Lytechinus pictus: one gene and its partner. The protein of the gene in region 1 purifies or fractionates together with the protein of each later gene. This does not show direct contact. Links are inferred from orthologs where the notes say so. Each region holds a gene or a part of one and is shown on either strand. Other genes may lie near its edges. The genes, in order: RCC1-like G exchanging factor-like protein; pseudouridylate synthase TRUB2, mitochondrial-like.

The links.
Region 2: the proteins of RCC1-like G exchanging factor-like protein (region 1) and pseudouridylate synthase TRUB2, mitochondrial-like purify together in Homo sapiens (affinity purification with mass spectrometry; 3 studies listed by BioGRID and IntAct, with this or other methods). This does not show direct contact. The link is inferred for Lytechinus pictus from reciprocal best matches to the Homo sapiens genes RCC1L and TRUB2.

Annotation. Positions count from the first base shown.
Region 1 is NC_087245.1:39,115,278-39,127,920, forward strand, and holds the start of RCC1-like G exchanging factor-like protein, read right to left. Parts: upstream 4,789-12,643; 5' UTR 4,713-4,788; coding exon 4,658-4,712; intron 3,373-4,657; coding exon 3,244-3,372; intron 2,056-3,243; coding exon 1,989-2,055; intron 1-1,988. UniProt on the Homo sapiens protein: Guanine nucleotide exchange factor (GEF) for mitochondrial dynamin-related GTPase OPA1. Activates OPA1, by exchanging bound GDP for free GTP, and drives OPA1 and MFN1-dependent mitochondrial fusion. Plays an essential role in mitochondrial ribosome biogenesis.
Region 2 is NC_087259.1:6,025,260-6,038,249, forward strand, and holds the start of pseudouridylate synthase TRUB2, mitochondrial-like, read left to right. Parts: upstream 1-8,317; 5' UTR 8,318-8,365; intron 8,366-10,715; 5' UTR 10,716-10,728; coding exon 10,729-10,855; intron 10,856-11,678; coding exon 11,679-11,891; intron 11,892-12,990. UniProt on the Homo sapiens protein: Minor enzyme contributing to the isomerization of uridine to pseudouridine (pseudouridylation) of specific mitochondrial mRNAs (mt-mRNAs) such as COXI and COXIII mt-mRNAs.

The DNA of each region.
Region 1 (12,643 bases):
CTGTTGTTCGTACACACATACACAAAAGTGGTGTGTTCATCGCAGTGTACACACAAATCTTTTACTAATAGACCGATCAAAAGCTATTGTGAGCTGAATTAGCACAGCTCACGCAAAACCCCGCCAGGGTTACACCTTGAAATTAATGTGGCGCAGGAATGATTCTGTCTGTGGCGGGCAAAGAGTTATCTCTTTGCCCGCCACAGACAGAATCATTCCTGCAGACAGAATCATAACAAAATATTCTACAGTGGCTAGAATATGGAAAGCCATAGGGGTTCTCAATCATTCTTACATTAGTTGAAGTTATATAGATGTTGAAGATTCTTACAGCTAGTGTATGTTCTGTCACAATTAAAATGGAATGATGTGAAATTCAGTGAAATCTGTATAATATACTTCACTTCATAAGGGAGAAATGTAAACCCTTAAAAAATTCTGAGTTTGGCCATTAATTTCTCCCAACTCCAAATTTTACACAATGCAAATTTGATATCATTCAAAAGATCATTTAATATTCTTTAAAATGATACCATACTTGTTATGATCATGCCATCACAAAAAGAGCAGGATTCAAAAGTGTTGGATGAGGTCTGAATTGAAAAGCAGCAAAACGAGTAGAAATGGTTATGAAGGGTCAATAAAGAACATGATTCTTTTGTCTGTGTCAATAAAGATGAAAATCCATTCAAATCAAGCCCCTACTTCTTCATTTTTTATGTTTAGTTGTGGTTTATGTTGTGATGGTTCTGTGAGATAACATGGTTTGAGTCATGGTTTGAGATACCCATGCACATTTGATTGTTATGTGTTTCCTTGTGCCATGTGTGCAGAGGTGTGTTTGATTCCATGTTAATGCTGATGTTAAGGTGCATGAAAACAAAAGAAACCGCTGAGAAACTTGCTCATCACCACAGAAAAAAGAACAGTGACTTTCAATATTGTATAATTTTGCAACTTTTGAATTTTGACCTTGCCCCACATTTCAAGGCACTGCACCTTCGTGTGAACCATAATCATATCATGTATCATTTTAAAGAAAATTAAATGATCTATATGCAACACATGAATATTCACTAAAATCGAGGAGGGGTTATCGATCAAAGTCAGATTTCCAAAAAAAATTTGAGGAGTTTATATATAAGCAGGTGGTCTTTATACAAAGGTTCATTTAATACATGTTTCACTGCAGAGTACTACCAGTATTCTAGGAATACCAAACTTGCGGTCTTTAAAGGGATGGTCCGGGCTGAAAATATTCATATCTCAATAAATAGAGTAAAATTCACAGAGCAGAATGCTAAAAATTTCATCAAAATCGGATAACAATAAAGAAGTTATTGAATTATAATTTCTTTCAATATTTTGTGAAAGCAGTTATATGCACATCGTCATGAATATTCATTAGGTAGGCTGATGATGTCACATCCCCACTTTCCTTTTTCTCATGTTATTACATGAAATCATAAATGTTTCATTTTTCATACATGTGTAAATGATGTGTCTCCATTATGATGAAATAAGTGCGGCAATAAATAACTATTAATGCACTTAATCAGTTGTCAATCCAATTGTTTTAGTTCTTGGTAGAAAAATTTTGAATAAACCTAATTTCATATAATAAAATACAAAAGAACAAGTGGGGATATGACATCATCAGCCCACCTAATGAATATTCATAAAGACATGCCTAGAAATGTTTCACGGGAATAACGCAAATCTTTAAAATTCTATAACTTTGTTATTTGTCATCCAATTTTGATCAAATTTTCAGCATTTTGCTCTGTGAATTTTACTCTATTTTTTGAGATATAAATATTTTCAGCCTGGACCATTCCTTTAAAGAGAAGTGGTCCTTGTATAACAGATGAAAGCGGGTGTGACTCTGTATTCAAATTTTATATTTGGCATTTCTTATGCCAGTCATTCATTAAACTGTTTGTAACTAAAGATCAGCTTTATGAAACACATGTGATGTTAGCGTTTACCTATAATCTTCATGGGGTATAATGGGCCTTCCACACTGACCATGAGAATTATTGCCAAGACTGTATACTGCAAATAGAAAAGGAAAGTCAATCCAAATAAAAACACAAGTGCTAAAACCATGATCACTTGACAATGCATTGAAATTTGCAAAATAACAAAATCATATGTTCTTCTTTATTTCCAACATACTATATTGTCCTTATGCTATTCTTCGGAAATCTTTATTCATGTACTGACAACCTTCTTCATCCGTGAAGATAAGCAAATGATATCTCCCACATAAACATAAGTTTCATAAAGCTGTTTGTAAGTTATACGCATGGCTTTTACATGAGACTGATGACCCTTTCTTGTACTTAGGCTATGGCGCAGTCACGTTTCCCCTATGGCGGCCGTATTGCGAGTAAAAAACAGCCATTTTAACATTTTTTGTATCAGCTACATATACGTGGTTTGAATAAAAATGATTATATGACACCTGGATAGATCCTTGTCCTTTGATTGGTTGTTTGATGTTGATCATTCAGGCCATTTTACAATGACGTCATCATCCATGCAATTTTGGATCCATACGACTTTTCCATTGAACGCGCGTGCAACACTGACCACTGGCAGTGGCCTACACGTAAACTTTTCGGTCTTATAGTAAGTGTGTTTGTATGTATGCGGCAATCAACAGACCGCATTCGCACTGAATTCAAATTTATAAATGCCAAATGACAAGGATCTATTTTAGGTGCAATATAAAACAATGAATTTATTCATGCAATGGACAGAATACTTCATGAGGTGAAAGATAAAATGAATGATCAATTTCATCTTATTTCATCTTTCACCTCATAAAGTATTCTGTCCATTGCATGAATGAATATTCATTATTTGTATAGTAAAACAGCTGTGTTCGACTAGCCATACGGCCGCCTTGGGGGAAATGTCACTGAAGCATTAATAATATTAATATATCCCCATGCCCGGGGGGGGGGGGGGGGCACTCACATATATTGGTGGTAAGGGGACCTGCCGCTTTGATGACCACCTTTTTCAGACCTAATTTTCAGTTCTCTTGATACCCCAAGACCCCATACTTTACCCATTTAGTCAGTTCCTTAGACCCCCATTTCAAATTTCAGATTTTTCGTGAGGCACACACCCCCAGCAAAAATAACTTTGAGTGCCCCCCCTTGGGTCCCTATGTAGCTGACCTAGCACCTAAGATCATATGCATTACGTGAAATTATTTATTTCTGTACTTACCACCTTCTTCATCTGTAAGTATAAGGGAGTGAGATCTACCACAGGATACCTGAGAAACTCTGGTCTTCCGTGGCTTCTTCAGAGGTAATGTGATTTCAGTTGGTGATATGATGGTATGCATTCCCTCAACTAGCAAATAAGCAGGTGCAACAAAAAAAGAGAATAATAAAAATAATCCGCTTTTATATAGCGCTTAATACATCGGAACAACGTGTCTAAGCGCTTTACATATATATTACCCCGGTCATCGGATTCAATCGGTCATTCCCGTACACAATGTATGCACATCCTCCACTCCTTGGGGAGTATTCCAGTCAGTCACCAGTGAAGCGCACACAGTACTGGACAAGCTACAGTGACTTTCTCATCCTACCGGGTACCCATTTAGCACCTGGGTCGAGAGCGGCAAAGTGTGGATTAATGCCTTGCCAAAGGATGCCAAGCTGCGGTGGGATTCAAACACTTGACACGGAATACAAATTTAGAGGGCAGAAAAGAGTTGGCCCAAGTAGGAAACAGTAGTTAATCACTAGTAAATACTAGCTCAAAAATTACATGTACAAGGAAAATGGGAAATGCATGGATATACTATAAAATATGCCTCTTGAATATTTTCATGTATTTTCAGGTACTCCATGTACATCTTTAATGAGTACTTCCAAGCATTTACAAGTTTTTCCCCAGTATTTCCCACCTGGGCGGGAAATGTATAAATCACTGGGAAACTGCCATACCTGGGGCTGAAATTCAAAGATAATTTCATGTAACAGTTTCATTTCAATTGGCTATCCATACTATAGTTAAACCGCAACTTTTAGATCATAGTTTAAATTAAAGTTAAAACTGTATTCAGAATATGGGCTAATGCAGACTTGCCAACCTTCTACAACCAAAAAAAGTATTCTTATAAGGAAAAAAGGTATTTTTTGACAAAAAAAGAGTATTTTTAAAAATTTGTCTCAACGTAACAATCGCCAGCCTGTTGTAGTGAGATCGGTGAAAAAACATATGAAATGACTCTACTTGAAAAATTCTTCATAATTCTTCTTCCAGTCTGGTACAGTCCGCCACTGGCGTATTATCGTACCTCCCTTTCACCCAATAAACATGTGCTCATAGGCAAGGATTAACTTGTTCTTTTCAGGCAACAAGTTACTGGCCTGACAGTGATTTTTACCTGGTCTGGGACTGTCGAACCGGCGCTAGTGTCACACGCTGTGTATAATACATACTCCATGATCAGAAATTTTGAAAAAAAGTAACAAATCATACAAAAAAGGTATTGGTGTATTTATAGCAACAAAAAAAAGGAACAAATACTCTAAAAAGGGAACGGTTGGCATGTCTGCTAATGTCATCATGCGAAAATATTGGATAACTCCCCATTTCTGAATAGTTTTATTTTTCTTCTTACCACTTGTCATAGCTTTGGGATGATATCCAATCTGCGAGTTTGTATTGATGCCCATACCCCAGACCTTACTGGTGTCCTGTGTATGGCTGCCAATCAGTGAAAACCCATACCCACAAGATGCTGTTGTGATCTGCCCAAGAGAGGAAAAAGATGACGTTAAAAAAAAATCAAATACGCAAAAGTCCATTGCGATGAGATAAATTACAATATAATACTCCACAAGAAATGTGAAACAATTCTAGATTGGCAGAGAATAATTTGCCTATCTACATGTAATTTGATCAGTATTTCTGGTCAAAATACAAAAGCTCTCAACAACGTTCTGTAGTCCTGTGGGAAAAAAAATCTGCTACACAAATATTTTTTTCTGTTAATCTTTAAAACATGTGGAGCACATTGATTCCAATGTGATAACTGGGAAAATCATTCCCTGATTGGTGGAATTTGGTTCATAAGAAGCAAGCTGCAGGTCCTTTTCACTGACAAGTGTCAATTGTGGCGGAGCATGGAGGCATAAAGATAAGATCATTCATATACATATATTTTTTCATATTCAAAGTAACTCTAAACCAAAATGTATATTATTATAAAACAATATAAAATAGACATGAGTAGTAATTGTAATATTTTGTGTTGTTTCATAAAGTTTTAGAAAGGTAAGATCCCATGACATAAGACATTTGCTCCAGACACTTGCTCGTACACATAAAACCAAATCCTAACCGTAAACCTAACCCTAATCATGATCCTGATCCTAATATAATCCTGGGGGCTGTCTCATAAAGCTGTTCAACAGTGTTCGTAAGTTAAGAGCGACTTTAAGAACGACTGGTGAACATTTCTTACACGCTAAACCATCGCCAATAAATATACCATTTACCACAAGAAAGGATCACCAGTCGTTCTTAAAGTTGCTCTTAACTTACGAACAGCTTTTTGAAACACCCACCTGAACCCCAAACCCTTCAAAAGCCAAAATCAAGAACCTTGTGTCTTCTGATATATTAAAACAGATAAAAATATACAAATTTTGGGGTCCATCTTACAAAGAGCTGCCATATAACAATAAATTTGAATCAAACCTGAATTGCTGCAATTGATCTAAATTAATTTGTGTAATTAAGTGATAGGATTTTTAGATCTATCACACTTTGAGTTTGATTTAAACCTACAGGGCAATTCCATAAAATATGTATATATGTGGGACTTTCATGAAATTCTCTGTCTCTGATTTCTTGTTCTTTTGATAGTATGTAATGCTCTCAAATGACCATGACAATGGTCAGTCTATGAAGTGAAGTAAAACTTGAGAAAAATGGGGGTCGGACGTACAAAAAGGTTGATTATTTTATGGAAGTGCCCTACATGTACCTATCACAACTCTCTGTAAGACAAAGCCCCAATGAGTATTTCATAAAGCTGTTCGTAAGTTACGAGTGACTTTACATGTATGATCAACTGGTGATCCTTTCTTGTGTTAAGTTAATTGAATACACACCAGGGGGTGTTTCACAAAGATTTAAGATTGATTTAGAGTCGCACTTAAATACCGAGTTGCGTACAGTATAAAAGGCTTGACCGCATGGGTCAGATCGTGTCATGAGGACGCGCACTACTGCGTATCTGATATGATTTTGTAAGTCGCCCTGCGTGGCTGACATGGTTTTTTGTGCTCTCTGAGCTGTGTATGATTTCTACTGTTTACATGTATTGTTTCTCATTAATAATTGTACCAGATAGGTTTGTTATTTGCAAGGATACTTGTAGCCAAATTTGCAACTGTATCTTGCTTGTATTGATGAGATATTACTGGATGTTCTTGTACATGGTTTTGATTTGAGCTTGTAAATCTGTAAGCCATTTTGTACATGTGTATTATATGTCCAGCTATCACCATTCAAGGTCGCTGAACTTGAACGGACAGTTTCTATCTATTGAATGCCTGCATTTGAAGCACAATGGAGCCATTGACACTGTGCCTATTCACTCTCACTGTGCTTTTCAAGTTTTTTCAAGTGTCAACTGCAAGTCTACCTTGTGAAATTGAATACAATACAGGACACCCAACTAAGGAGATTCACTGTAAGTACTCAAAACTTCGAGTATCTTATTACTACAATTCGTCTGCAACATTTCAGCTCAAGATACTTCAGTCTGGCGATGTTAGTCCTAATCCTGGACCAACTAGTGAATACATAACCAGATGTCGTAGTGTTCCTATTCAGTGGAACTCCGACGGAACTAGAGAGCGTATTAAGTACGACAGGTCGATTTTGCTACGAAGCAATCCTGCGTGGGCCCATTTGAATCCAATGACTTTATTATGATTGTAATCCCAACGATGATGGCAATGACAAGAATGGTGATAATAATTATAATGTTGATATAATGATGATGGTATAATGATCGTAATTGATCACGAGAATATTTATTACGACAAGATTGGTGATTATGGTAGCAATAATAGTGATGATCAGAGGATAATATTTTGCTGTGGGGGACAATAATGATGCACCCTATGAACAAAGGATATATCCTCTGCTCCGCCGCCCGCGGTGATGATTAATGTTTTATGATGATGACGGTGATAATGACAGTGATGAAGGTGCTGAGATTAATTATGATAATAATCCTAGTTTTGATGATTACAATGATTATGATTATGATTATGGCGATTGTGATGGAACGACAGTGGGGGAAGGGGCATGTTTGTCGAGATTGAATTTCATTTGAAAATTAAAGGTAGGTCCTAGACTGAACAGTTTCATGAGTGTTTCTCACCAAGGCGAACTTCTACTTCAAGCTAATTACGGAGCTGCAACTCTCTTCAGTTGGTTCGAGATTCGACCCATGAACCTCATATACAGAGAACGAATGATCAATAACCAGGTAACATAATTGTATACGATGTCAATTAAGGACAAATTTTTCTCCTTATGTCTATTTATCGTATGGTTGACATCACAATGAGGCAAAATTTGATTGCATGGTGACTTCTTAAAAAAATCCTAAGTTTGGGATTTTTAAGGGGAAGGTAACACTTATGCTGGATTTTCCCCAACAAATATGATTTTTGAAACTTGTAAGAATGATGGTTGAGTGAACAGGAATTTTAAATTTAGTGTAGCCTATTCATCTTGTAGACCTAAGCAGTGTGTTTTGTGAGTCGGAGTAATGTGATGGTACCTGTTACAAGCGAGATATGGTAAGACTTGGTTGAAAGGGCATTCATCATCTTTTTGTCATTTTACAAATAAAATTCTTATGTATCTCCACCCCCCCCTCAATTTTCCAGACCCCTCTCACTTCCTGGATGGTAGCCTCCCGGGGGTAGCCTTTTCAAAACTTATTTGCCACTGAAGTGACCGGTGGCTGATAGTCATTTTTTTTCTTTCTTTTTATTGAATGATTACCAAGAAATTGACTTGATTATAATTTATGAAATACTTTATTGAAAAACTGAATGTTTGATTGATTACATTGCCCATTGAAATAGTTGATTTATTGATAAATTGTTGATAGGAAAAAGTTGATGCCCCAATTATCATTATAATTAAATTAACATTCTGCTCTGGACTTCACGCGTACATGACAATAAAAATCAGTCACTCAACAGAAGGGGAGTGCGAGAGAGAGGGAGGGGGGCTAAAATGTTATGTTGACCCTTTTTCCATCAACCTACTTATCCCACTTACGTCCAATCTCACCCCCTATTTTCCTGACTCCAATGAACACATTGCTGAGAGCCACATGATAATGTTGAAATGTTGCCCAAGATGTGTAATTTTTGTTCAATTTAATAATTCATAAAACTTGCTTAAACATTCCTAACTGGTTGATCAATAATTTATCACAACGCCCATAACATTGCAAGTTCCAAAGCCAAATAATTTGCCCCTCAAAAACTGACAAAAAATGGAAGGCTAATTCCAGCCCAGCATAATTTTCATACCCTTTGTTTCAATAGGCAGTGTTCGCTCAAACGTGATAGTATCTCTAAACATGGGGTATGGTTTTATGCTGGAAAATCCCTAAACATGCATGGCCCCAATTTTTAGATACTTGCTTTTAGATACATGGGTTCATGCCCCCAATTTTTAGATATTGGCCTTAAACATGGGTCCATATCCGGGGTCCATATTCTCAAATTTGGGGTGATAAACTTTTTGGTCAAGTTTTAAGCCCTTATTATGCATATCAATTCCTTTTATAGGAAAAGCGCTCCTCACAATTTCCGTATATTTGGCACCGGCCGTTTGGTACCGCCTTGACTGAACTGTGCGAAGTGTGTGTGGTCTGTGTGTAGAGATAGACCGAGCCTTCAGCACTATTTCTTGGGGGTGCATAAATTGCCATAATTAGGTTTATTGTGACATAATAAAATTAATCACTGTAATCAATTAATCACTGGGGGAAAAGGATGTACTTCTCTTCACAAAATGAAGAGAAGTACACGAAGGGAAATTTTGTACTTTTTGCATGTCATTGGACGGATGAAGACCCTCATTAAAGTATTGCATACGGGTGGAAGTGCTTGTGCATAGCCTATTTTGTGTTTGTAAATGGTATTCCGTTCTATAGTCTGAATTCTTAACCTTATATCAACTCTTTTCTCTCTTTTGGGGATTTTGTAGATTAGCATCTATCCTGTATTAAATAAACTTGAACTTGATTTTGATAATAGTGACCTGAATGTTTTCATAATTTTATATGGCCAACCTCTCCTTCCGGCCCTACCGTTCTATTATGTTTCTTCCTCCCATTACAGATCCTCTTCCTCTTTTTCACCCTCCATCTCGAGTAATCACTTTCTTCCTTTCTCACTGACAATATGGAAGGGGTGCAGCTCCGATCGCCTCCTTACATCGAGAGGTACACATCGACAGGGCAAAAAAAAAAATCCTTTTAATGGAGACCACCCTGCTGATGTCCACGTTTAATGAAGTGCATATACTTTCACAGTATTGACATTTCAGAAACTTTTTAACATTTGCTAAGATTTGACGTACACGAGATGACACTCAAAACTTCTTTTCTAAAATCGTGTACCATTATTTGATAACTCGGTGTAAATACCAATAAATCATGTAATGGACCTCGACACTCTTCATGTAGTCAGCATGTTCGATTGATACACGTTTGTAAAAAGTAAAACACACACATTAATTATATAATTGATTTTTTTTTTTTTCTCATGTCTTAAAGGTAAAATAGACCTATGGTTTTATCATAAAGACCAGCTGCCATTAACAAATTTAATAAATATCATCCCGTGTCTTTTCTTTGATCATGTAATGTTTAGAAACATTGCTGCTGCATAATTAGTGTGATTCATTTTTGTTTTGTCAAAATTATCTCATCGGCGATTCCGTTCAAAATGCCCTATAATGGGACAGAGAGTTACATGTATATTTGTATTTTACGTGCATTAAAGCCACCGACAAGCTATGAATCGGCTTGGAGAAGACATGCACGCAACTGATCTATAACCATGGACCTACTAGTACACAGCAGTAACATACAGACAATGAGGCATTCAGCATGTTCAGGGTTTCACATTCACATTGAAACGGATTTTTCCTATTGTTAGCTGCTTTGTGATTTTCACACCTTCATCCATTGTTCTCAAAACGTGCTAGACGGCGTAATTGACCAAATTCAGGTTCAAGGGGTGTTTATAGCTATATAGGGTCGTTGACTTCAACCAAGGACCTATAGATGTACAGTGCAGGCACATTATGGCCCACTCTAGACCGTTGCATGAAATCACCCGAAATATCTTAAATATTCATTAATGCATAATGAGGGCGCGAAATCTGATAGTATGGCCTGAAATCTGGACATTTCAAGCACCTTTGTAACTATAAATATGATGCATATATTTAACCATTAATGCGAACGCGAACCGTGAGCCAATTTTTTTGATAAACTGTCATGAAAAGGGGATTTCAAGTAGTTTGTTGTATAATCAATATTGAGACATACATAAATCGCCAATCAAAATGCGAGCGTGCAGCGCTAGCTGAGGCGCGATAGCTCAGTCGTAGAGCGGGGGTTTCGGATTCCGGTGAACCGGGTTCGATTCCCAAGTGGTGCGCGAGTGCCCTTTGGTAAGGCATTTATCCTCATTACCAGGTCCCTCGGAGAGGACCTTAAGCCGTTGGTCCCCTGATTGCTTGCTCACAGGCATTCGTGCTTTCTTAGCAGTCACGTAAAACATACTCGGTATAACCTGATACGATTTGACAATCAGACCCGAAAAGGGATATTTAGAAAATGTATGGAATGCACGAGAATGATAGGTACCAATCAAAATTCGCGAGCGCGCAGCACGAACAGAAAATATTAATATTCAGACCATAAAACTGACATGTTTACAGAGCACTTTTAAAAAATCAGTTTGTAAATCACACAAAATAATGAAGTTCAATTTCCGAGGTGAAATGTGTTTTGTAAATTAACTTCCAAACTTGATACCTAAACTCATTGAACAAGATATGAAAATCACCTAACAGGCAATGCTGCAAGGGCAAAGCGCGAGCGAAAATTGTATAGTGACATGAAAGATTTTTTTTCCCAAGTCTTTCCCTCATCTTATTTTATTCACTCGTCTTCCTCTACTTTATTCTCCTCTCTTTTCCCTCCTCTTTTCCCTTTTTTCTATCTTTTTTTTGCTCGACCAAGAGGGGGGGGGGGTCCCTCGCCCCCCGATCCGCCTATGCTTTGTGGAAAACAAGGTATCATAACGAAATGCATATAGAATATATTTTAACCTGTTGTCAACTTCAAACAATCTTAAAAGATGTCCTGATAGATCGCAAATATGAAAGGCTACCAACTTCTATTTTGTCTTATTGACGTTTCCAACTTTGTCGAGAAAATGCATCTTTGATATTATTTTCTTAACGGAGAACAATTAAGGGATCATAACGAAAGGCATATCAAATCTATTTTGTCTTGTTGACCCCTAACAACAATTTTAAAACATGTCCTGATAGATCGCACACCAATCTGAGATGTTTGTGACTTCCATTCTGTTTTATTTACGTTTCCAACATCGTCGAGAAAAGACGTATTTAATATTTCTTAACGGAGAACAAGGGATCATAACGAAAGGTATATCAAATCTATTTTAACTTGTTGACCCCTCGAAAAATTTTCAATCATGCCCTGATAGATCGCACACCCATCTGAGATGTTTGTGACTTCTATTTTGTTTTATCTACGTTTCCAACTTTGTCGAGAAAATGCATCTTTCATATTTCTTAACGGATAACAGGGGATCATAACGAAAGGTATATCAAATATATTTTAACTTGTTGACACCTAAAAACAATTTTAAAACATGTCGTGATAGATCGCTCACTATTCTGAGATGTTTGTGACTTCTATTCTGTTTTATTTACGTTTCCAACATCGTCGAGAAAAGACGTATTTAATATTTCTTAACGGACAACAAGGGATCAAAACGAAAGGTATATCAAATATATTTTAACTTGTTGACCCCTCGAAAAATATGTATCACCAATAAATATGAGATGCTACCAACTTCTATTTTATTTTATCTACATTTCCAACTTTGTCGAGAAAATGCATCTTTAATATTTCTTTACGGAGAACAGGGGATCATAACGAAAGGTATATCAAATCTATTTTAACTTGTTGACCCCTAAAAACAACTTTAAAACATGTTGTGATAGATCGCACACCCATCTGAGATGTTTGTGACTTCTATTCTGTTTTATTTACGTTTCCAACATCGTCGAGAAAAGACGTAATTAATATTTCTTAACGGACAACAAGGGATCACAACGAAAGGTATATCAAATATATTTTAACTTGTTGACACCTAAAAACAATTTTAAAACATGTCGTGATAGATCGCTCACTATTCTGAGATGTTTGTGACTTTTATTCTGTTTTATTTACGTTTCCAACATCGTCGAGAAAAGACGTATTTAATATTTCTTAACGGACAACAAGGGA
Region 2 (12,990 bases), on another chromosome or scaffold:
TTCAAAATTTCAAGACATATTAAAGTCTATCTTTAGTTTTGGAGAATCCCCCTAAATGGCATATCACTATTCCAATTCAGGAGCCCGCTTCATAAAGGACTTGCAACTGTTGCAACTTTGTCATTTAATGGCAACTACCATGGTAACAGAGCTCATCAGCCAATCAGAATCAAGGTTTCCATGGTAATTGCCATAATGGCAAAGTTACAACAGTTGCAAGTCCTTTATGAAACGGGGCCCAGTACTAGATTATATCAATACATGTGCCCCCAAAGGGTTAATGTATGAAGGATATTAACTAAAACTGTGTTTTATTGGATAATTTACCAATTTTACATCAACATTTAATTTAATCAGGTGGGCGTTTCATAAAGCTGTTCATAAGTTAAGAGCGACTTTAAGAATGACTGGTGATCCTTTCTTATGGCGAATGGTATATTCATTAGCGATGGTTTTGCACGTAAGAAAGGATCACCAGTCATTCTTAAAGTCGCTCTTAACTTAAGAACAGCTTTATGAAACGGCCCCCTGGTGGCGAATCAAAATGAAATATCTGCATACATGTATTTATGTCTTGTTTACATAAATACAACCCCCTCTCAAGCATGTAATGGGCTGAAAATTTCAGGATATAATCTTTGCCCGTGGCTTTCTAATATCCAATTACTAAATCTGTAAAATAGGTGCTTGAAGAGCTATTTGAAATAAAATAAAAGCGATTCAGAGAGAGGGTGCTAGATGCCAAATTAAAACTGTAACGAATGAAAGAAAGAAAAATTTAAAGTTATAATATTGGAATATTTGATTATACTCAAGTATAATCCACATTACTAATCCTATAACAAAGCTTTAGACAGACTTTAAAAGCTATCACAGAATTGAAAGGGAAGTCCACCCTGATAAAGAAAAATAAGTTCTTAACAAAAATAGCAGAAAATATAGAGAAAAATATTGATGAAGAATTGATGAAAATCCATCAAAGAATTAAGGAGTTGTGAATTTTTAAAGCTTCGGGATTGTGATGTCACATACACCAGCTCCTCCATATTTTGTGGAAAATATATTTTCCCCATAAACTTGAAAGTGACTTCATCTGTGTGGTGGATATGTCATCAGACTCATCATTTCATACCCATTTCTGTAAGAATAATATTTGTATTTCCTCATATTCCATTACAAGATTGGAATTCATGGAATTTACATTACATGATATATGGGGAAGCTGCCTGTATATGACGTCATAAAATAGAAACTTCAAGATTTATGACTTTCTTAGATTTTATGGATTCTCATCAAAACTTTGACTACATTTCTCTCAATTTTTTCTTCTTTCATCAAAACCAACTTATTGTCAGGGTAAACATCCCCTTTGAGCATGATCTAGAATACTTGCCCAAATCAACCTTCTATAAACTGTAAAACATTTAACCAAGTTGACGCTTTTTTTTTAGACCAGGTGGTGGTTCACAAAGATTTAAGTGTGACTTGGGGTCGCACTTAAATTTCAGTTGCGTGCGACATGCATTATATAACGTATCACTGCATTGGTCAGATCATGCGCACAGGGGGCGCACTACTGCATATCCATCACTCAGATTACGCGTTAAATAACATAAAATGTGCGCATTGACGTTGAAGCATGACTCTAATACCATGGTCACATTTACTCTACGGCGGCCGTACGGCGAGTCGAAAACAGCCGTTTTATTAATTTTGTACAAACCACCTCTATGTAGCTCGTACATAAAATGTGAAAATAGCTGTTTTCGACTCGCCGTACGGCCGCCGTAGAGCAAATGTGACCAAGGTATAAGTCACACTTACTCTTCCTGTGAAACACCCCCCTCCCCCTCCACCTGAACGTTTGACTAGAATGTTGACTTAAATTGCTGTCTCAACTGTATCATGAAAGAACGATTTCTATGAAATTATTAAAGAAAATAAAGCATAAAATGATAGCTTTGGAATTTTAGAGCAAGTGGGTCCATTGAACCTGATGAATTTAAAATCTAAATCTCATACAGGAAATATTTAGGAAAAATATTAAGTCGTCAACAATACATCCCAAAAATGATGTACAAGTAGTTTCACACTTCTTTATCCAATCAACCCACTTAGATATTTTCCACAAAGTCATGAATATTAAGCTAAAAATGTTAATGTTAAATGGTATCAATTTACATTTAAGAATTTAGTTAAATTCTACCACTATAAGTGTTGACTTTTTTGCTACGAGCTCAACAGAAGTATGACTGAATCACCCATCATCTTGTCTCTTTTGAGATTTGTTTTATATCAAAATAATTCTGGAGATGCATGGTCATGAAGGTCATCCACAAGAGTTCATCCTTAACATGGTTAATTGCACCTCTATATTCTCCAACCTGATTTTAGGGGTGAAATCTGTGAACATGACATAAGCAGCTTCTTCTTCTTAGTATCAGTGGAAATAAGGATCAACTTCAAGTGAGAGTGAACTGTGTGTGGTCTCTCATTGACTGTGTGATATAAATACATAGTCTTAAAATATATGTTTTCAGATATCTACTAATACTAAAGAGAATAAATTGACCTATAATTGTATTCGTATAGAGAAACTAAAATGTTTTGAGATGATAAGAAATTGTTTTGCTACTTGTTAACATAATTATTGCGGTATATAAATGTATTGAGTAATTAATGAGCATGTTATCATTTAAGTGGGTCTAGACTACACTAGCATTATTGGTCAGGAAACTAGCCATGTATGAGTAGATGAGGACTCGAGATGGCGCTATTGGTTCGTATCTGCTTTATATACTTGAATGGTGAGCGTCCTTTCAGATAGAAACATGTTTTAATTGAGGCTCTACAAATCGGTACACGTGTTCAAACTCAGTTCGGCATCTCAACCATGTACATCAAGATCCATCATAGACCATGGATCTGATGTCAACACTTGTCCAAGACTCAAACATCAGGTAGCACTGCCAGAATTGGGCATACTGCTGGCAGGAGAATGGCAAATTTGGACATGTTCATGATCTTGCTGGACATGTCCTGTATGTATTTCATAATCCCGCATGAACATCTGTTCTCAGCATCCAACCAGCACGATCCAGGTTGCTTCTGAAATCCAAATTATGCTGCTGCATGTTCCCTGGAAAATAATACAAGATACAAACAAAATTACAACAGTTTATTCGGTGTCTCACATTAACAGAATACGACCACAATAAAAATGAAATCACAAATGAAAGTACTAGCAACATGATGATAAAGCAAGATGGAGTGGCAATGTATGTATTTCCAAATCAAATGTAACTTTGGAGTTAAAAATCATGTAACTACCGTACAGTGGCAAAGCCAAACTGCCCCCCCCCCCCCTTGTTAATGTGAAACAGTGCAATCCATGTCTATTGATTCATTAGACTCTGATTATGTCGCTGATCATAACATTTAAAAGGCATTTCATGTTTGTCATTATTAATTAGATCTATCATCATAAATCACCATCAAATATCATTATCATCTTAATGAACTTTTCATTATTGATCTATAAACTTAATTATTTGAATTTAATAATTTCTGAAAGACATTAGCGTTAACTTAAGGTCTTTCTACAAAATGAATAGACCAAAAGCTTCAGTCTTTCTATTCTATTTTGGTTGTTCCGCTGAACTGCGTTGGCTCCAATGGGGATGATAGTAAATGTCAGAAATTGTTAAATAAATCCCCAGAAACGACGGTTCTTCCTGTCTACAAAATGAACTTAATTGAATTGAAAGACATGCAATGCAATGGCAAATAATTTATAACGTTAGAAAGGTCTCTAGTCTAGGCTATCTAGCAGTGTCAGTGCCAGTGGCACTTCTTACTAGGCCAGAGACTAGTTTGAATTGTTGACTTTGTTTGACTGCATACGAATTTACGGTAGACAGTCGATTGATTAATATTAATAATTAACATGATTAATGACATTTCTAATATTATCATGGAAATATATACTCAACAAACAAGCAGCTTACTAATTAGTAGAGTCACTCGCCACCTCTAAATTCTCCAATTCGACTTGAAGTAGATGGAACAGGTCTGGGATCGAATCCAATCCGTGCACGAATCCTTTCATCGCGGGTCTTCGCGTCAACAACCTCGCCAGCGGGAACTACAGTTTCTTGGTGGGCCGCTGCCCCGTTGGATGTGCCTGCCTGTCCGTTCTTTTCAGTTGGGCTCAAGCCCACAACTTGTTCCACTCTTCTTTTTTGTTCCAGCTCCTTTTTAATGTTATCGAATTCCTCGAGATCTTCCAACTTCAGTACAATACGCGTGGGTCCTCTTTTGATCATGTCTGTAGTATAATTTGTAGTTTATTGTTGGCTTAGTGAAGTCAAGGTCAAACTCGTTAAAAAACGGTTTACTTTCGCGTTCGCACATGCAAACAGTCTGAAGTTATAGAATAAATTCCGTCTGTGTGTGTGTATTTGAGTTTTGTCAGACGTGTATCAATCAGAAATGATTATTTACGTCTGGGACCGACCTTTAACGTCACCATCCGAAAGACGTGACCAGGGCTCGAACCTCTGCATCAATTTGTAACTTCCCCACATAGCTTGGATTACAGGCGCACGCCACAACGCCCACAACACAACGTCGAAACAAGTAACCCAGGACAACGGTGTCGTTGATTAATTTTTCATTTTCGTGCATATAATTCCCCCCCCCCCCCCCCTCTTCCCCATTTTTTATCCATGACCTTTGAAAAAAAATAATAATAACAATAATAATTACAATAATTATAATTAAAATAATTATAATTTAAAAAAAATAAAAAAATAAATAAAGGGGGAAAAATCAGCAAAAAAGTCTACTTGAATGATAGCTATTTGGGGGAGCAACAATAAAAAAAATCATTGGGAAACCCGGCGGGAAACTCTTGAATGCATGGATCTGATAGCTATATAGAAGTAGGCCCAAACTTAGAACTTATTGGACGGGTTGTAGCTCAGCGAAATAGGATAGCCTAGGTATTATTGATGCAAGCGTCAAGCGTGAGCTGAAAATTGTTTGCAGTGACTCATGAAAGGGATGGGCCTATAACTCACAAATCAAAAAAAAAACGAGCGCGAAAAGCGCGAGCTAAAAATTTTGAATATTCCGACCTGAAAACTTGATTCTTATTTCAAATATCGTAACTGACTGTGCCATGGACCAGTGATGGCCTGTTGGTAGGGCCTACATACAGTCACTGACCAGCAATCAGCAGTGGCGTAACAGGCGGGGGCGGGGGGCAAGCTGCCCCCCCCCCCCTGGCGGATTTCACCGGGAAAATAAAAGAAAAACGGGGAAAAGAAGGGAGAAAAAAGGGAAAGGGGAAGGAAAGGGGAAAAGGAAAGGAGGAGAAGGAAAGGGAAAGGGAAAGGGAAAAGGGAAAAGAAAACGAAGACTAAAAACATTGTTTTTAAATGGAAAAGGAAGGAAAGCGGGAAAATGTACGAAAGAAAAACATTTGAGAAAGAACAAATCATTCCGAAATAGGCCTCTGTAATGCAATAACACGGTGGGAAATACATTAAAAGATGACAAAATGGCAAACAATAGCGGGAAACGAAGTCAGAATATTATTAATCAAAAGCTTAATTGGAACACAAAGAAAAGGGACAAGAAAAAAAATAATAACACGACCGGGCTGCCGATGATTGAAATTATAAAGAGCGGGAAGAAAGATGGACTGCATACAACATTGTGCTATAAGCTTGCTATTATGCAAATAAGCTATAACGCCCCCTTTCAATCACGTTCAATTACTGGCAGTGGCATACAGGCGCGGGGGGGGGGGGGTCTTCCACACCCAAGAGGAAATTATAGGAGACAACGTATAATGAAATGAATGGAAACAATGAAATGTGTAATTTGCTGAATATAATGGAAAAATCATAACATAATTAGAATTTAATTTCAATAGGCAATTTTTTCCAGCTCGCTTTACACGCTGGCGACTTTTTACAAATTTTTCCCACATTGCTATGTTTTGCCCCCTCAAAATATTTGGTTCATTACGCAACTGGGTTGAATAAATAAAGTGTTGTGTAATTAGCTATATTCTGTATATGTCCGCGATTTGATTAAAATAGCGGCAATCTGCGAGGTTTAAATGACTTTGATATCAAGCAGTTCCGGGGGCTCCGCCCCGGACCCCAACCACACAGCACTGCGTATGGAAGGGTTGGGCCATGGCCCAAAAAAGTTCTACAAACAAGGACAAAAAAGGAGGAAAGAAAAGCAAAGGAGAATTGTATAGGATATGATTTTATTTACTGAATATGATGTTTAAAAAATATCTCAAAGTTAGATTCTCATGAAAAGGTGATTTTTTTTTCGCCCGCTTCGCTCGCTCGGGACTTATATAAAGCAGCATGTTAGCACATGTGCTATACTGCGCCCCTCGCTTTTTGTTTTGTTTTTTGTTTGTTTTTACTCTTCACACTCCTGCCGCAAAGAATACTGTTCACAGTGGCGTACAGACCACAAAAAAGGAATCTAAAGAGAAAAGACTGAAATATATTATTTTCTGGATATTATGTCAAAATCTATCACAAAATTGAATTTTTGTATTAAAAAGGTCAAATTCTTGCGCGCTCGCTTCGCTCGCTCGCAACTTGTTTTCAAAGATAAATTCTGCCCGATACGCAATATCTGGCCTTCTCAAAATAGTCGCCTCATTACACCATTACGCCTGTTCATATACCATGATATGACCGGGAAATTTTTGTCTCTCGCCCCCCCCCCCCCCTGGCCACCGATCCCTGTTACGCCGCTGGCAATCAGTGGATAAGAGGTTCAAATCCTGGTTGAGCCCTGGATTTTTCTGACATTATCAGATCGATCAATGTGATTTTACTCACTAATTGAAAGCCATAAATTGTCAATTCATTTTGGATGCGAGAAATTAAATTCTGCAAGTATAGGCGAAGTAGCAGATTATGCAGAAGTGCAGAACTGAATTGAAACATGCAAATTGACTAGTATTTTAAACATTTTTTTTCCTTAATGTTCCTTTTTGCGCTTTTTTTTTACTTTGCCTATTCTCCTTTTTTTTACCTTTTCATTTTTGCGTCCCCCTGAAAGTGGTACCCGGGGCACGTGCCCCCCTGCACCTTTCCCCCCCCCCCAGATACGCCACTAAGGGTGACAGTGGTACAGAAATGCTGACTGCTGCTCGGATTCACTGCACTCTTTAAAGGTCAAGTCCACCCCAGAAAAATGTTGATATGAATAAATAAAGAAAAATCAAACTAGCATAATGCTGAAAATTTCATCAAAATCGAATGTAAAATAAGAAAGTTATAGCATTTTAAAGTTTTGCTTAATTTTCACAAAACAGTGATATGCACAACTAGGTGAGTCAGTCGATGATGTCCATCACTCACTATTTCTTTTGTTTTTTATTGTTTGAATTACACAATTTTTCATTTTTTACAGATTTGACAATAAGGACCAACTTGACTGAACCATATAGCATAAAACAATGCTATCTACACATGTTCAGAGAGGAATTAATCATTGTTTCACTTGACAATGAGGAGAAAATTAGAATATTTCGTATTTCATATAATAAAATACAAAAGAAATAGTGAGTGGATGACGTCATCAGTCTCCCAGACCAGGGGAGTGTTTCATCAACATTTTCATCCGACAAGTTGTCAGATCTGACATCTTTCTCTGATGTTGATTGGCTGAGAGGTACTGTTACTATGGTAACTGTCGGATAAAATGGGACTTGTCGGATAAAACGTCCGACAAGTCCTTTCACGAAACGCCCCCCTGGATGTGAATAGAACTGGGGAGCGTTTCATGAAAGGACTTGTCGGACGTTTTATCTGACAAGTCCCATTTGATCCGACAGTTACTTATAGTAACAGTGCCTCTCAGCCAATCAGAATCAAGGAAAGATGTCAGATCTGACAACTTGTCAGACAAAAATGTTGATGAAACGGTCCCCTGTTTTGAGAAATCAAGCGAAACTTTAAAATGTCATAACTTTCTTATTTTACATCCGATTTTGATGAAATTTTCATTGTTATGTTTTTTAGATTTTTCTCTTTTTATTCAAATCATTTTTTTGTTGGGGTGGACTTGTCCTTTAAGAATCTCGGGTAAATATATCGGCGAAATTTCTTTCATGGAGGGGGGCGATACCTAGACCAAAAGCTTCAGTCTCTGTATTTTGGTTGTTCCGCTGAACTACGTTGGCTCCAATTACAGTAAAATGTCAGAAATTGTTGAATAAATCCCCAGAAACGACGGTTATTCCTGTCTAGGCGATACCATACTTTAATTTCTGGTATAATTAGTCGACAAGTTCAGCAGAAACCCCACTTTGTTTGAGGTGAGTTAATTACTTTATATTTTGCCTAGAATGTGTAAATATGGAATTAAATCGTTGATTTCAATAAAAATTATTATGTTTGATATACGACGGCCGAATTTGAGTGAATATATTTGATTTTATACGCCCTTAGATCTAAAAAAAAGAATAAATTTGTTTTTGATTGTGTTATTGCAATGCCGGGAAATGAGCTCAGTCCGAGGTACTGGATTCTGTGTAACGTTAAAGTTAACCTTTCGGCGCAGTTTCGCACTGCACCTGCCGATTTCGAGCAAATTTCCCCACCAGGTCTGCAGGAATTGTTCACAAATGTCATGGCAAGTCTGTCAGTCACATTTCGAGGTCAACGAACAATATACCCACTGTTTTTCCAAATAATGCGATCTGGAACGACTGTATTTTCGGCTCCGATCTCGACACCTGTCCTAATTAATTCATAATTGATAATTCTCAGTCTGACATTTTGCTTGGCTTCGCCGTAATGTTGATATGGACTGAATTTAGCGGCCAAAAGATTTGCCAGCGGCAGTTTGTTTGCCACATGTTTTTATGATCTAAATTGGTCGCTAACTTCTTCAGACCATATCAAAATTATGGCGAAGCAAATCGATGTCTGACTCTGAGCTGAACTCTTGAACGATGAGGTCGAGAAGGAAGCCGATATACAGCGGTTCCCGATCGCAATATTTCGGAAAAGCGGTAGGCATATTAACCTTGAAATGTGATTGAGGGACTTGCTCCTTTGTGTAACAGTTTTTTTTTTTACATAGGATAGTCTGTACAGAACATAGTTAACAACCATAAGTGCTAATTTATATCAAATTTGAGAAGTAAAATCAAGACAGGTCCACTCATTCAATGAACAAGGTTATGATATAACCTTGTTCTTTGTTAGTACTCCATCAGTCCATGTCAGGAAAAAAAGGTTGGCAAGCCAATTATGTTTGGCTTATCTTCTCTTAGTCTTTGGAACAAACGCTTGATTTTTTTACACTGTCATGTCAGATTCCATTACAGCTAATCATCATATAACTTGGCTCTTAAGTAAATTTGATTCTTTTAATTAATTACTTTTAATTATTTTTTCTAAATTGAAAATAGAGATTGAAAAATGAAAATTTTCTTGCCATATTACTTTCCACCAATAGAGGGCGTATACAAATATATGCCCAAAATTCAAGTTTTTGAGTGCTCTGGTGAATACTAATAAAATTATTCCCAAGTTACAATGAAAAATAAATTGCAACAGTGGAAATTAGTATTTTTGGTCACAAAAGTGTTCTATAAATGATTTTCTAAAGACAAGTGTGTGTTGTGTGCTGCAATGGCATACCATAGTCCTACCTGTAGATTCCCCACACTCCACAGGCAGGATGGTTGCAGTGAATGGGTCTAACTTTTCTGGTGTAGATCTAGTATATTGCTATAAGTTTAATTTCTTGGATCTAACTTCCATGGAATGAATATTAAATTCTTATTAATTTATAACTGAAAGAAATGATTTATGTGTAACCTTCAAGAGCAAGATTTAAATATGTGTCATCATGACAGTGTATAAAGCAACTGCACCTTAGATTAGTATGCTTATGCGTAGACAGCTGGCAGCAGTCTGTTTCGAGGAGTTTTTAAACATTTTTTATTTTTTTTAATTTCTCCTCGTAAACAGACGGCTCGCTATCGTGCAGCCACCATTAGGGGACTTACAATGCAAAATCCCCCCGTCGGGGCTCTTCAATTTTTGTCTTTAATGAATCAAACTTATGAAAATTAAAGCGACCGAAATGGAAATTAATATTCCCTCTTGGCTTTAATTGCCAAAACACGGGGAAAATCAAGTTAAAAGGAACAAAAACAGTGACTTACCTCGGCTGTCGCGCAACTTCACTGCCCTGTTTTATCCAAACTTAATACACATAAACATATGGCCATTAGTCCCCTGTACAGATCGCGCTAGAACTTCGGTCTCTGTATTTGGTGAGTGAAGCCAACGGAGTTCAGCTGAACAACCAACATAACATAGACCGAAGCTTTTGGTCTAGCTTATGCGAAGCCTTAACTCAGACTCAAGAGTGCAAGAGCATAGCAGGACTTGGATCTATGGAAAGCTTTGCTGGTTGATCTTTAAACTATGTATTTCCTTCCTTAAGTTTTTTCTTCTGGTAATTTTCTTCCCCCCCCCCATATTTCTGATGAAAATCAATAAGAGATATTAAAAAAGGGACAGTCATTAAGTAACAAGTTTACCCCGCCATATGATAATATGATGCAAAAAAATGCATTTTAGATATCTTATTACATATTCATATATATTTAGTTGTATTTCTTTCCTTCTTTTCTTTTTTCAACAAAGGAATAAGGTACGGATGATGGCTGATTTCAAGGTAGCTCGCAAGGCGTGGCGATCTTTGAGTGGTTTGTTCGCAGTCTACAAACCAGAAGGACTATCAACTCAGAAAGTCAAACATATTGTGAAGTCTACTCTCCTACAAGGTAAAAAAAACAGTCACTGTATCATGAAGAAAATTAGTCATAGATGAGAATGTTAAACAAAATCAATATAACTTCATATATATGTGGAGCGTTTTGGCCCAGTGGATTAGTCTCCGGACTTTGAAACAGAGGGTCGTGGGTTCGAATCCCAGCCATGGCGTAATTTCCTTCGGCAAGAAATTTATCCACACTGTGCTGCACTTGACCCAGATGAGGTGAATGGGTACCCGGTAGGATTTTTCCTCGAACCCTTTAGCGCCTATTAATATGGCAGCTCGGCTACAGCCGGGGTAATAATATGATACCATGTATCAAAGCGCAGTTGAGTATATGCACGTAGTAACTGCGCTATATAAATGGACATATTATTATTATAACTTCGTCATTGTAACAACTTTGAGACAGGTCTGTAAATCTGAACTGAAGACCTCTCTTTTCCAGCAACTGTGAACAGTCTGTGACGTAATTGAATGTGTTTTCAGAAATAAATGGGGCTACATAAGTGCTATTTATCATCAATATTTTTTGTTTCAAACTATTATAAGCCCTATCAAATTAACATTTCGACAATGTGGACCCGGTAAAACCACTCTGGAACACTGCCTGCATCAGAAATCCGGTTACACCATATTCTTAGGTTCTTTACATCATTGATGCTTTGTGCAAATATGAATCCTGACCAGACTACATTACTCAGACTCTTTGCACACTCTTTGTGGATGTCATTTATTTTTCTTGATTATTAACCCATTGCTCACTGGTACTGGGACTCCTTCAGTTGCTATTTTCACAAGTCTTTTCGCCATCCCTCACAAATGTACAGAGCTGAATGCGCTGAAGCAGCGACCGCAGAACACGCTGGTGAAGATTGTCCCGGAGACCGATGCCCGGTTGACTGCCGCCAACCCTGGTGCCTTGAAGGCTGTGGAGGTACCCAGCTACACAGATCATCCTATGGTGAGGGGACCGGCCTACAGGGACATTGCTGTTTCCGTGGTGTCCTTGGGACTGGACACCAAGGCGTGTGGTGTTATGGGTAAGTAGACAGCGAATTACCTGAAGCAGGGAAAAAATTACACGGGGGCTTGGGGGGATTTTGCCCTGGAAATTTTTTTTTTAAGGGTTCCTGAAATTCTCCCTTCATTGCAGTGTTTAAGCCTATCCCATGTTTCAGATTTAGGCGATTGGTTGTGAAATGTAGCTCCCCGAAAATGAAAAAGAAATTAATTTTTGCCTGACCTGAGGTATTCGGATTCTTAAAACTCTTTCTTAGGCTTTTTACCAGAAGTCAGAGCCGCATCTTTCATGCAGGAATCCTGGGAGTGTATTTTCATTGCTAACCCTCACACTTCATCACAGAAAAAAAAAACGATGGGGAATGCAGGAAACCCTCTGTGAATGTGAAGATGCATGCACATAACGTCTTTCCTAGCAGGATTTGTATCAGGGCCCCATCTTACAAAGAGTTACGATTGATCCGATCGATCTCAACTTTATGGAAATCCAGCAATGTCATATTTTTTTCTACAGGAAATTTTCACAATATTCTTTACAAAAAAGGAAAACACACTAAATTTTCAAAAAGGCAATTGATGTATGAACATACAGGGTATCTAGAAAATATTTTGAACAAACATGCATTTGGGAATGGGGGGACTGGGCATAATTTTCACCCATTTCCATTGTTCCAAAAGACTAAAAGCTTTGATATGGTTGAGCATACTAAGTGTCAATGCAGGGAAGGTCTCAAGTTAATTCTCCCAAAGCGTTTTGTTCACAACTGAGGATGGTTCGGTAATGGTGTTTATTTTCCTTGAGGTAATTTATGCTCTTAGAGTCCATTTCTTGATTACAATGCAAAAGACCAGAGGAGCTGGTTCAAGAAAATTGTAATCGGCATCAAACACCAAAGTATGTCACAAATAAAGAGCAATTGTTTTGTCATTAAACCGGCACAATTATGCATAGGAACTTGATGTCCGATTTACTAATCTTTTATGCAAGATTATTCAAGTTTCAAGTTTAGTTTATTTCTCCTCATGAGATCAGATAAAATACATAATACATAAAATAAACAATGAATAACAATGTATAAAATCACAATGTACATCAAATAAGTCATAGAAAATGAGGAG